Oryzias latipes: one gene and its partners. The protein of the gene in region 3 interacts with the protein of the main gene of each other region in a pairwise test. Links are inferred from orthologs where the notes say so. Each region holds a gene or a part of one and is shown on either strand. Other genes may lie near its edges.

What was found. The genes of interacting proteins can lie anywhere in the genome.
Region 1: the proteins of stx12 (region 3) and probable E3 ubiquitin-protein ligase DTX2 interact in binary tests that used the Homo sapiens proteins (3 or more experiments, as listed by UniProt). The two-hybrid records come from large-scale screens. The link is inferred for Oryzias latipes from reciprocal best matches to the Homo sapiens genes STX12 and DTX2.
Region 2: the proteins of stx12 (region 3) and snap29 interact in binary tests that used the Homo sapiens proteins (3 or more experiments, as listed by UniProt). The link is inferred for Oryzias latipes from reciprocal best matches to the Homo sapiens genes STX12 and SNAP29.

The regions. Positions count from the first base shown.
Region 1 is NC_019872.2:28,224,063-28,228,340, reverse strand, and holds the start of probable E3 ubiquitin-protein ligase DTX2, read right to left. Parts: upstream 2,921-4,278; 5' UTR 2,281-2,920; coding exon 1,971-2,280; intron 1,597-1,970; coding exon 1,008-1,596; intron 1-1,007. UniProt on the Homo sapiens protein: Regulator of Notch signaling, a signaling pathway involved in cell-cell communications that regulates a broad spectrum of cell-fate determinations.
Region 2 is NC_019867.2:6,078,960-6,083,235, reverse strand, and holds the start of snap29 (synaptosomal-associated protein 29), read right to left. Parts: upstream 2,921-4,276; 5' UTR 2,796-2,920; intron 1,099-2,795; coding exon 865-1,098; intron 756-864; coding exon 562-755; intron 1-561. Other genes in the region: phosphatidylinositol 4-kinase alpha, read left to right, coding at 3,163-3,261. UniProt on the Homo sapiens protein: SNAREs, soluble N-ethylmaleimide-sensitive factor-attachment protein receptors, are essential proteins for fusion of cellular membranes.
Region 3 is NC_019869.2:17,746,026-17,748,426, forward strand, and holds the end of stx12 (syntaxin-12), read right to left. Parts: coding exon 2,387-2,401; intron 2,161-2,386; coding exon 2,088-2,160; intron 1,492-2,087; coding exon 1,409-1,491; intron 1,330-1,408; coding exon 1,237-1,329; 3' UTR 651-1,236; downstream 1-650. UniProt on the Homo sapiens protein: SNARE promoting fusion of transport vesicles with target membranes. Together with SNARE STX6, promotes movement of vesicles from endosomes to the cell membrane, and may therefore function in the endocytic recycling pathway.

The DNA of each region.
Region 1 (4,278 bases), on a different chromosome or scaffold from region 3:
GTCGAAACAATTTTTGGCAAAAAAAAAAAAATGCATTAAAATGTATTTTTTTAATAAATCATTAATGTTTTTATCTTCAGAAGACAGTAGACTCATAAATACTCGTCCAAAAACGCTCATATCAGTTCGATTTTAACTTTGTGAAATCGATGACGTCATATCCGCCGTCTAAAAAATACAAGTAGTGAGCGTGGCGTCCGAATCGCTTTAACATTCAGGGCGCTACACAGTGCTGCACTATGTAGTTTGGGGTTAGGGTGGGAATTCAGACACAACCAAGGATTTTATTCTCATTTTATTTGATTTCACAGAACTACCTTAAAATAAAAAAAAGATAAAATAAAGATAAAAATAATGCATAATCAATTATCGAAGATGGTTAAAATGAGTGATTTCTAATTACATTACTTCACTTGCTCCAAAAATGGATTCATGGTTTTTCTTAATGAAACTTAATTTTGCACATATTTTTAACTTTTGAACTTTGATCAATTTTTGATATTGAAGATTTTTGAAACAGTGTTATGTCTATTTTACTGATATAGTATTATTTTTTAATCATATACATCATTGTTCTAATGAATATAATCAGCTTATATTTTAGATAATTGATCTGCATTTGCTATTTCTAAAATAGAGTTATGTCTATTTTTACATAATAATTAAGAAATTCATCTTTATCATGAGATTTATTGACACCAAAAGATTCTTAATTCTGTCTGATAAAAGTTCTGAACCGGATAAAGATAAAACATGTAATAAAATATGCTGATTGTATTGTTTTTGTGTATTTTTCTTCCTTGATTGCTTGAAATAAACCATTTCAAATCAAAAATCAAATCAAATCAAAATGTAAGAGTTCCTATTTTATCCATGTCTGTCCCACATTTGTTCAGGTAAAACCATTTGACCCCACAAAGTGACTTCAGATCCGTGTTGGCGACTGGAACGGGACCGGCAGCGTTTTAGCAGATACCAGAAACCCCGGACAGAGAGGCGGAACCCACCTGAGCCCGTTGGCGCTGGCGGAGCCGCTCAGGTGCGACGCCGAGATCTGACTGGCAGAGGGAGGGGGGAGCCAGGGGCTGCCCCAGGATATCCCCCCAACAGAGTGGGGCCTCCGGGGATACGGCGAGTAGACGGAAGTGGGGTGGGTCGCGGCTGCCCTTCCTGGTCCCTGCAGGCCGGGTCGGTTCAGACTCCCCGAAGAAAAGGAATGTCGGGAGCGGCTGGGCATGGGCCCCGTGCTGCTGTGGCTCAAACACTGCTGGCAGGAGCAGGCCGGCCCCAAGGGGACAGCCGGGGGCCCCGGGGACGCCAGCGGGAACGGGGAGTTGCCCAGTCTACGAACCTGCCGTCTGAAACCCGTTGATTTGTTGACCTGGGCGAAAGACGTGAGGTCCACAATGTAGTTGTATCCGTGAGGGCCCAGGTCGGCGGTCCCCTGGCGGGCCTGGTAACTGTGCTCCAGAAGGATGGAAGTTCTGGTCTCGTACGGAGTCCAGCCCCCTTCATCGTTGGCCCATTCCCAGTAAACGCCACTGCCGAGGCCCGAAGACTGGGGGAACAGAGACCGGCGCACGGAGCGCGTGGTTCCTGCACAAAAACCCGCAAATGAGTTTACCTTCAGCAAGACAGTACTCTTTGTAAGAGTACTACAAAAGGTACTTGGTCTATACTAAAAGTGATGCACTTGAAGTTCACTTCCATACTGTCTATTCCTGGACTCAAAATGTTCCAAGAAATACTCAGTTACTTCACTAAATCTACATAGTCTCTAGTATTCTAGCTATACGTGTACTCAAGTATACTTAATAAAATAAACTTAAAGTGTACTGCTGCTTTCTAGACCAGCTGACTGAACCAACATCATCTTCTCAGAAATGCAGTTTAAAAAGACAAAATGAACGACGGAAACCAGAATCTCTGATCTGAATCCGGACTTCAGGTGTGGTGCTGAAGCGGTTTACCTGTATCCTGTCGAAACTGCTTCAGGCTCGGTATGTCGATGAGGTAGGGGGACAGACTGGGATCTGATTGTCCGAGGCAGACGCTGGTGGAGCTGGGTCCGGCTCCCCGGTGGCCCCGCGGGGACAGGGACCGCTCGATGTGGGAGCAGACCTGGCCGCTGTACGGCCGCCAGAAGCCCTGGTCGTCCTGCCATTCCCACACCGCTATCATTGGCTGAGACTGTCCGACTGACGGGGACGGCGCGGCGGACACCGACGGCCCGTTTCTGGAGCTGCTCACCCGGGAACACGATCCAGACACAATCGCCATATTCACCGACCGAGGTACTAGCTAAGCTAACGGCGGCTCGTTCTAGCTAGCCGATCGGGGCTACGACAAAGCCAAAGTCCGCGGGGCTAGCTTGGCTCACTAAAGAGCTTCATTATGAACGTGGGAGCATGAAGAGGCCTGCAGGTAAAACACTACGCGCTCTCCGTGAACACCAAGGTGCATGTTGACATTTCTATCAGGGGAAACGCTAGCTTTACAACTGCGTTGCTAAGGTTCCTCCTCTGCTCCACCAGCTGCCTTCACGCGCCCTCTGAATTTTTGCATTCAAACCGATGACAGGTTGGCTCAACTCAGATTCGTAAAACAGAATTTTAATCTGTAAAAACATGCAAGCACAAAACAAACATAAATATCTACTTGCTAGTGTTGCTGGTTTAAATGACTTTAAATTGCTTACATTTAAACCCCACTATACAAAAAGCGTCCTTCATTACCTCTTTTTTTTTCAAAGTCTGTGGTGAGTCGGGGACAGATGGGAGAATGTACATTTCTTGAGTAGATCTGTGTGTTTTTTAATTCTAAAGCCAAACACTTCAAAGACCAGAGTACGCGGCTTTATTAACCAAAGAACAAATAACCTTTCAAGAAGAACACATTACCGTTCAAAATTACGTTTACAAAGTCTCCCTGAACTTCACACTCTTCTTCTTTTAAAACAACAACCTCTTCCTCTTTTTGGAATCTTCAAAAACTCTGCTGCCCCCTAACGGAGACAAAACGGTACGACAAAATACTCAGAAGAGGAAAGGTTGAGCAAAAGAAAACTACGACTGTTGGATCAAAGGGAACTGTAAAAAAATAAAAGATGTGTTCAATTTGCCACAAGAATTACATTAAAAAAAATTGTCAGAATGTCACAATTTTCCGAACTGGTTAAAACCAAGTCCTCATGATCTTAGTATTTACATTTGTACAATGGTACTCCAAACATAAAATATTACAGTTTTATTATTAAACTTCAAAACTTAGTTCCACATAGACAATAGAAATTATATTAGAGACTCTATAATATTGAATAATACAATCATATTATTTATTATTATTTCAACGTAAGAATATATGTTTAGACAAAAATGTTTGAAATCCCTTAAAGCAAATGTTGGGTGAAATTTTTTTTTATTGTTGTTTGAAATAGCACAAAATCATAAAAAGAACACTTTTGTTTTTTGGACACTGGGAAAAAGAAAAGATTTTAAAATAAAAGAAAACTAAGTAATTGTTTACCCCCGGAAATTTTATGAAAAAACACTTTGTTTTTTCTTTAAGGTGAGTATGAAGCAGAAGCATCGGTTTGCATCAATAGTGCGTCAAAGGCTTAAATGAAACCCCGGTGTCTCCTGTTTGCTCGGATCATCTCTGAGATGCGTGGGCTTCACTGACGTCCACCCGCGGTTCTGGAGTCGGTTGGGTTTGAGAGGACACCTACCTGTCTGCATGAGAGCTTTCATTCAGCAGAACATGTCAGAAAGGGAATGTCTGTGGACCTCTGAGGCCCAAATAAAGAAAAACGATGCAAAAAAACCCAGGTTCTGGTGCCTTGAAGGTTTAAATGTCAAAAAGGCCCTTTTCATTTAATAAACTGACGCCTCCCTGAGGTTTACTCTATTTGAAACAAGACATAAAACATTTGGAAAAAGTGAATAAGCCCTGAATGCACTGCTGGTAGAAGGATTCATGTTTAGTGTTTCCACCTTTAGAGCCGCCACATGAAAGATGAGGAAACCTTCCTGATCTTTCTGAAATTAACAATTCATGAACTGAAAGTTTTGAAGTTTTGCAGCAGCAGCAAACTTCTCCTTTTGCAAGACTGTACGCTTTTAGGAGATTAAACCCAAACGCTTCATAAAGTTACCTTAATCATAAAGAAAACCAAACTGGGACGAGGCCGTTTCAGTAAAAATATATGTCCTACCATCATTTTTAATTTTCCAAAAAGACACAGTGTCCAGAGAGTTTATTGCCAAATATAAATGACTG
Region 2 (4,276 bases), on a different chromosome or scaffold from region 3:
ATGTGAAACTGTTTCAATGTGAAACTATCAGTGTGAATAAAACATTCTAAAAAAAGTGGGCTGCCTTTCAGATAACTTTTTTTTTATTCAAAAGTTTCTTTAAAAAATTAAGAAATTGAAAAAAAATTAAATGTATTTTTAATTAGTTAACTTTACAAAACAATATTTTTTTATTCGAAATATAAAGCTTTTTTTGTAAGCATTTTTTTTCAGAATTGTCAATCTTTTCCCCCCAAAACTGATTTAAGACTTTTAAAAACAGACTAAAATTTGAGACAGAGATCACTCTCTTGTCTTGGGGGTTTTGAATATTATTCCTGTAAATGTAGGACAAGATTGAGCCTGAAAGGTGTTAGAAGTGAGTAAAAATAATCACCAAACACGTAAATGACATGTTGGATTCTCTGAAAAGGAAAGTTGTGTTTATAAGAAGCTGAAACCAATGTTAAATAAGTAAGGTAAGAATATTTAAAAAGATTCTGGATTTCAATTAATGTTAACTGTAAAATGATGACAGTCAACAAGCACTTCTAATCTAAAGAAGAAATAAGTAAAGCGTACCTTTCATTGGCCTGGTAGGTCGTTGGCTCCTCAGCTGGCGGCTTTGTCTCTGGTTTGCTCTTAAAATAATTGACAAGTCCTCCCCATACACTCTTGATGCTGTTGATATGTTTTTGGCTGGTCTTGAGGTCCTGATCCATGTTGTCCAACATCTTGTCGGTCCTCTTTAGAACCTCACCCTGACGTACCAGCTCCTATGAAGGAAGATGAACCAGGTTTCTCAAACTGCCGCTCTCTCAGAAACATTCAGAAATGATGTCTGCATTTGAATAAATCTGATTTTATATGATTAGATTTACACACTTCTGCAGTTTCCACACCCATCTTCTCTGATTCATAGATCAGGCCAAGAGAGCGGTGACTGCTGTCCACAGCAGATTGAGCTGTACGCATCACTTCCTGCTGCAGGTACCTCTGCCGCCTCTGTGCTTCAGTCAACCCATCATCGGGGTCATCATCAAAACCCCTGCTTTTAGGCTTAAAATCTTCCTCATCGTCATCATCTGCAAATGGATTGTGGGATTTAGGGTAGGCCATCTGTAAAGAAAAGTCAGTTCAGAAAATAAAAAAAGAAAAATAAATTAATCTCAGCTGCGCCTCTCATTTCACGGCATCAAAAATAGGAGATGAGTGGTAACAAGTTACATTTACATAAGGAACTAACTGTAAAAGATGAGTTTCATAACACTCTTACTCAGCTGCAGTGAGTTTCTTAATTGTTTTGTTTGTTCTAGTTAAAAAAGCACAATGACTTGGTTTTTACAACGGCAGAGAACTGCAAAAAAAAAAAAAAAATCCACCATTATAAACATAATAAGGCTTGGTTTTTGACTTTATGGCCATAACACATCAGGGGATCCTCTATCAATATTTTGAAATATTACAGACAGAATACTATGTGTAAAGCACATTAAATATAACATATTTAAAAGTCCAATTAATACTCATAATTGGACTTTGTTTATTAACTAAGTAGAGACATAATTTTATCAATTCTAAGAAGGATAACTGATATAATTATTGAATTTGGTATGCCCAATTTATGATTTTTGACAATATCAGATTTTCCAGTGTCATAAAACTTGTCAATCCAAAGCAAGTAGACCTTGCTAATTAATATCTCACTGGAAAGACAGGAAGCTATCAATAAATCTCATTGTTGCCAAAAAGATTCACCAAAGACATATTGTTCTTCCATTTGGTTAGTTTAACAATTTATTTTAGAATCTGGAAATAGTAGTATTTGCTCTTCAGTTTACCCTTTGCTTTACTACGGTAATTTCCATGAATAGTTAAAGTAATAATTAATCCGGTGCTAAGTACTCAAGCAGAATTTTTCACTAATTGTTTTACCCTACTAGTCATTCAACTATTTACTCGAGTAAATAGTTTAATGACTAATGTTTCCTTTTATTTGAGTTTTCTTTAAGTAATTTGTTATATTTAGACACAAGGTATTTCACTAGAGTAAACAGCTGTTTTTCTGTGAGAAAAAAAAAGCTTTAGGCGTATTTAAACTTTTTGAGCACATCTATGATAACTCTTATTCATCCAGGACGCTGTTCCATAGCAGAAAACGTTTGAAATTGGTCACTAAGACATAAAAAACAAAATGTTTTACATTTAAAAAGCTAAGTTTAAACCCTACTCTACTGAAACAAACGTAAACAAAAACAATAACAACAAGAAAGACAATATAATCAGCAAACTGCTAAAAATTATTGATAAAAAAAATAAAGCTTTCACAACAATAAAAAGTGGTGGGGGGGGGGGCACAAAAATGAAACAAAAACATTTGTCATTTCAGAATATGGGGGGGGGGATCGATCAACCAATTGATTGGTTAGCAATTCAGACAGTCAGACAGTATTGCGTAACAAACTTTTCGAAGAAATATTATTAAAGGCTAACTGGTCCTCATGTTGCAAGTTTTATGAACAAAAAACATACGGATGATATTTTAAAAGAATATTATCATGTTTTTTTCATTTACTTAACGGCCGAAGAACGTAAAAAAGAACGAAATGAATGATTTTTGATATAAAACTCGAGGGTGTTGTCAGGCTGCTATCACTCACACAGACCTAGCTTTTCTAGAAAGATCATAAATAAGTCAACAAATTAAAAAAAATACAATAAAAGCAGCAACAAAACAGAGTTGATGGTCATTCTCACACGACACACTACAGTTATAACGACACCGCAAAACTGTAAAGAAAACCAACTCGACAAACCTTCGATGATTTTGTGTTAATATCAGCTGACAGAAGAGAGCGACTCCTCTTCCTGTTACGTCAGATGACGTCACCGCGTCCAACGGTCAATCGTCCGCAACCAATTCGCAAACTAAAACATAAAGTGTTTTTATTCATAAAAAAAATTGAATAAATAATTGCTATTACACAATTATGTTTTTTACTCCATTTCACCCAGAATAATTTATAAATAAAATCCTTTTTTAAAAGTAAAATACGCTTTTGGGAAGTATGTCTTCTCCCGGCCGCCGTACTGCGGCTCTCCCAGCTCCCAGTTGCAACGCCCCCCCCGCCTCGAATCCTCTCCTGATTGTATTCATTGCTCTGCCTTCATGTAGGGGCGATCATGTCTGTGATAGGAGGTGGAACGAGAAGCTTTTATTTTAACACAGTTCTGTCTCTGGCTCGATCTCTCGCCGCCCAGCGTCCAGCACCGCTCGAAAAGGTACAAACGAAGGAACCCGGGTGTAAATTAGCGTTATTTGGCCAAGTTGGTAGCGACAGTCAGTTGGTGGTGAGGGTGTTGCTTCGCTTCCGCACAGGAGGCGGTGTCTTGTTTTGGTCCCAAATATGACAGGCAGGCTGATTGTTTTTGACGGATCTGTTGGGAATCGATTGCGTGGCGGCGTGACTGCGGGGTTTGTGTGAGTGGAGAAGGAGGGAAACCGAGGGCACCGGGTCCCGGTGAGGCGCCCGGTACCGCGTCAGGCGGAGCGGGGCTTTCACAGCACTGCAGTCAAACAGGTTTAAAGACTGGAAAAAGTTGATTGTGTTGACAAGGCGAAAGGACAACCTGTTGACACTGGAAGATGGAGCAAAGGAGACGAGGGGAAAAAAACGTCGAGTTTGATCATTCTAATGGATCATCACTTGGAAAATACATCATGATTATACATCACTGATTGATTCCACTTTGAACCAATTTGTTACGGTTTTAACATATGTTGGTATTTAATTTAAAAATTCGCGATTTTATTAATGTTTACTTGAAGTCACTATGTTCTTAAAATTAAATAACACTTTTTATAAATGGAAATAATTCATCTAAGTAAGTTGAAATGGAATTTATTGTCGTTTCTTGTTTAAATAGTTTATAGGTTGAATAAGGCAGATAGATGCTATTTTATCACCATAATTTTGTTGTTACACTTTCCTTTTTTTTGAGTATCAAAGATTGCAACCAAGTAAGTAACCAAGAAACATTTCAGTCGTCTTACTTACCGGTAGTCTTACCTGAGTATTGGCTTAACCAGACATATTAAATTTCCAGTTAAATTTAAACCACATTTATTCTGTATTTGTACTCTTGCTTGTGTAGTTTTTACACTTTGTTTCTAAGTTGATTTGCTTTTCTCTCAGGAACGTCACATTTAATCATCAACCTACCCACCTGTTGCACCTTATGTCTTGTGTGTTTTGTGTCAAAAGGGTGTATATTTTTCTGCATTGTCTGCAGTTTT
Region 3 (2,401 bases):
CTGTATTTATTTAATATTTATTTCTTTCCTAAATAAGAATCTCATTTTTGATAATTTTTCATAATAATTTTAGTAATATTTTTAATTATCTAATATAAATGTAATTTGTGATGTCCTTTATAGATGTTATATTATATAGATTATTTCTGAATGTCGTGTTGCTGCCACAGAAATGAAATTTCCCCATTGTGGGATTAATAAAGTCATCTATCTAAATCCTGGGGTGCTGATCATTTTAGCCATATCTGTATACAAAGAGTTTATTTTAAAGTAGGAATGGGATTTTCTTATAATTTATGTCTGAATTCAGATAGTTTTACATATTAAAGATTCAAAATAGGAACGTTTCCCCCAGCCCACATTCATTGTTGCCGTCTTTAGGCTAAAATGAGCAAATTTTATACTAGCAATAAAATGTGTTTGAACATTTTATACTTTGTTTAATAAGGAGTAGATCCATAATTTAAGCCAATCACTGCATTCTGTTTGTACTTTAATTTTTCTTAGTTTTCCAGTTGTATTAGTCCTGTATCACATGCTTACATTACAGAAAAGAGCATGACCATGGATAAGGCATGATGGGAAATCTACACATTCTGCAGTGATTCACACTTTGTGCAGGTTTATAAAAGAACACAAGTGCAAAAGAATATGAGCGCTTATGATGTTTATTGTGCATACTGTAGGGAGTCACAGAAATCCATTTTATACACCGCATATGAAAACAACAGCCTTTCTAGTTCAGTGCTGAAAACAGACATGGATGTTTATCATTTACAACATGTACAACCGACCGCTATTAGACGCTGTTATAATGAAAGAAACAAAGCATAGCCAGACCTGGAGCTTTCTTAAAGCAGCAGAGGAAACAAAACAGAGAAGAAATAAATCACCTAAACAAGATGCATTATTTCAGTTATCATTAAAAATACATTAGTAAATAGCATTAGTGTGGTAAATAAGACAAGGGAGGTGTAAGTACATTTAAGGACTTTCATAAATTAGACAGTATTCTGTTGTCTGTTCCTTCTTCAATCAGACAAAATAGATTCTTTAACTACTTTACAAATAAACGGACTGGATCCTTTCAGATGAAATGTTCACGTTGACTGTGGCACAAACCCCCTGCTGTGCTGACGGCTTTCCAGCTTTCTTGCCGTTCCAATTGAATGCTATAAGGTGGAAAGGGGGCGGGGCTAAAATGGAGTGTTCAACCACCGAATGTGGGACTTCAGCTCACTTGCACGCCCACCAGATAAGGAGGGCAAGGACGAGGAGGATAAGGGAGCAGACCATGGCAAAGATGCACATCTTCTTTCGAGACTTTTGCTGAGGAGCGGAAAACACAGAAAGGTGAGCTGGAACCTGCGCTCTATGGCGGCTGTGGGAGGGGCGGGTGCAGGCTCACCTGATAGTGTACCGCTCTCTGTAGCTGGTCCCTTCCTCGCTCTACGTGAACCTCAGCGCTCTCCACATTCGCTTCTATGCTGTCTGAAAGGCGGAACATACACCGTCATCAACTGGAAAGTAGCAACAACCCTTAATATGCCAGGATTACAACTTCTGTTTTTTTTAGAGGAATATTATTTTTCAGTACTGATACTATTTATTTCAGAAAGTTACTTAACCATTTGTTGGTTAAGTAACCATGTGTTGACGTTCTTTCTATTGTTTTGGATGAGGACGTTTGTTCACCCTTTCAAGCAGAAGTTACCTGGCACAGAAAAATCTTCAGTTACAAGATATTTCTTTAAGCTTCTGGCATCAACCACTGCAACAGTTTGGCCAACGTTTTTTTTTTTTTTACCCTAGTTTGGACAAAACGTCCTTCTGCTTTCCCTCTTCCTAAAACTCAAACATCATCCAATCAGTGATGGATGTATAACACCTACCTTTTCCAGTTTCTTATATTGTTTCAGTGGTTTTTGGAATTTTGTTTTTCTAATTTCTAAAATGCAAGTTTTTTGGGTTCTTTTTTTTATTGTCGTTGTGATCTTTTCATATGTTTTTGCATTGAGGGGTTTGTTGATGTAATTTGCACTTCAGGGCCACCGTAGATGGGAATGACCACAACAAATCTTGCTTACCAACCATCTCTCCTTGGTCGTGAATCATTACCGCCAAGTCCTTAAAGATCTGGTTTACATCCATGATGTCGGACTGAAATAAACAGACAAAACACAAGAGTCAGCTGAAGAACGGGCCCCCGTTTCCCCATGAAACACAAAAACTTGACTGGGAGCCTATTTTATTAGAGATGTCGGATCCGCCCACCTACTGATTACGGTACCAGAGAAGCAGCAAGAGCAGAAAATGATTTAAAGGAAGCAGGAAGTCGGTAGTTGGAGACTGGCTTTGAGTGAAAGTGTGCAGAAATCAGACTCACCTCCAGCTGTCGGAT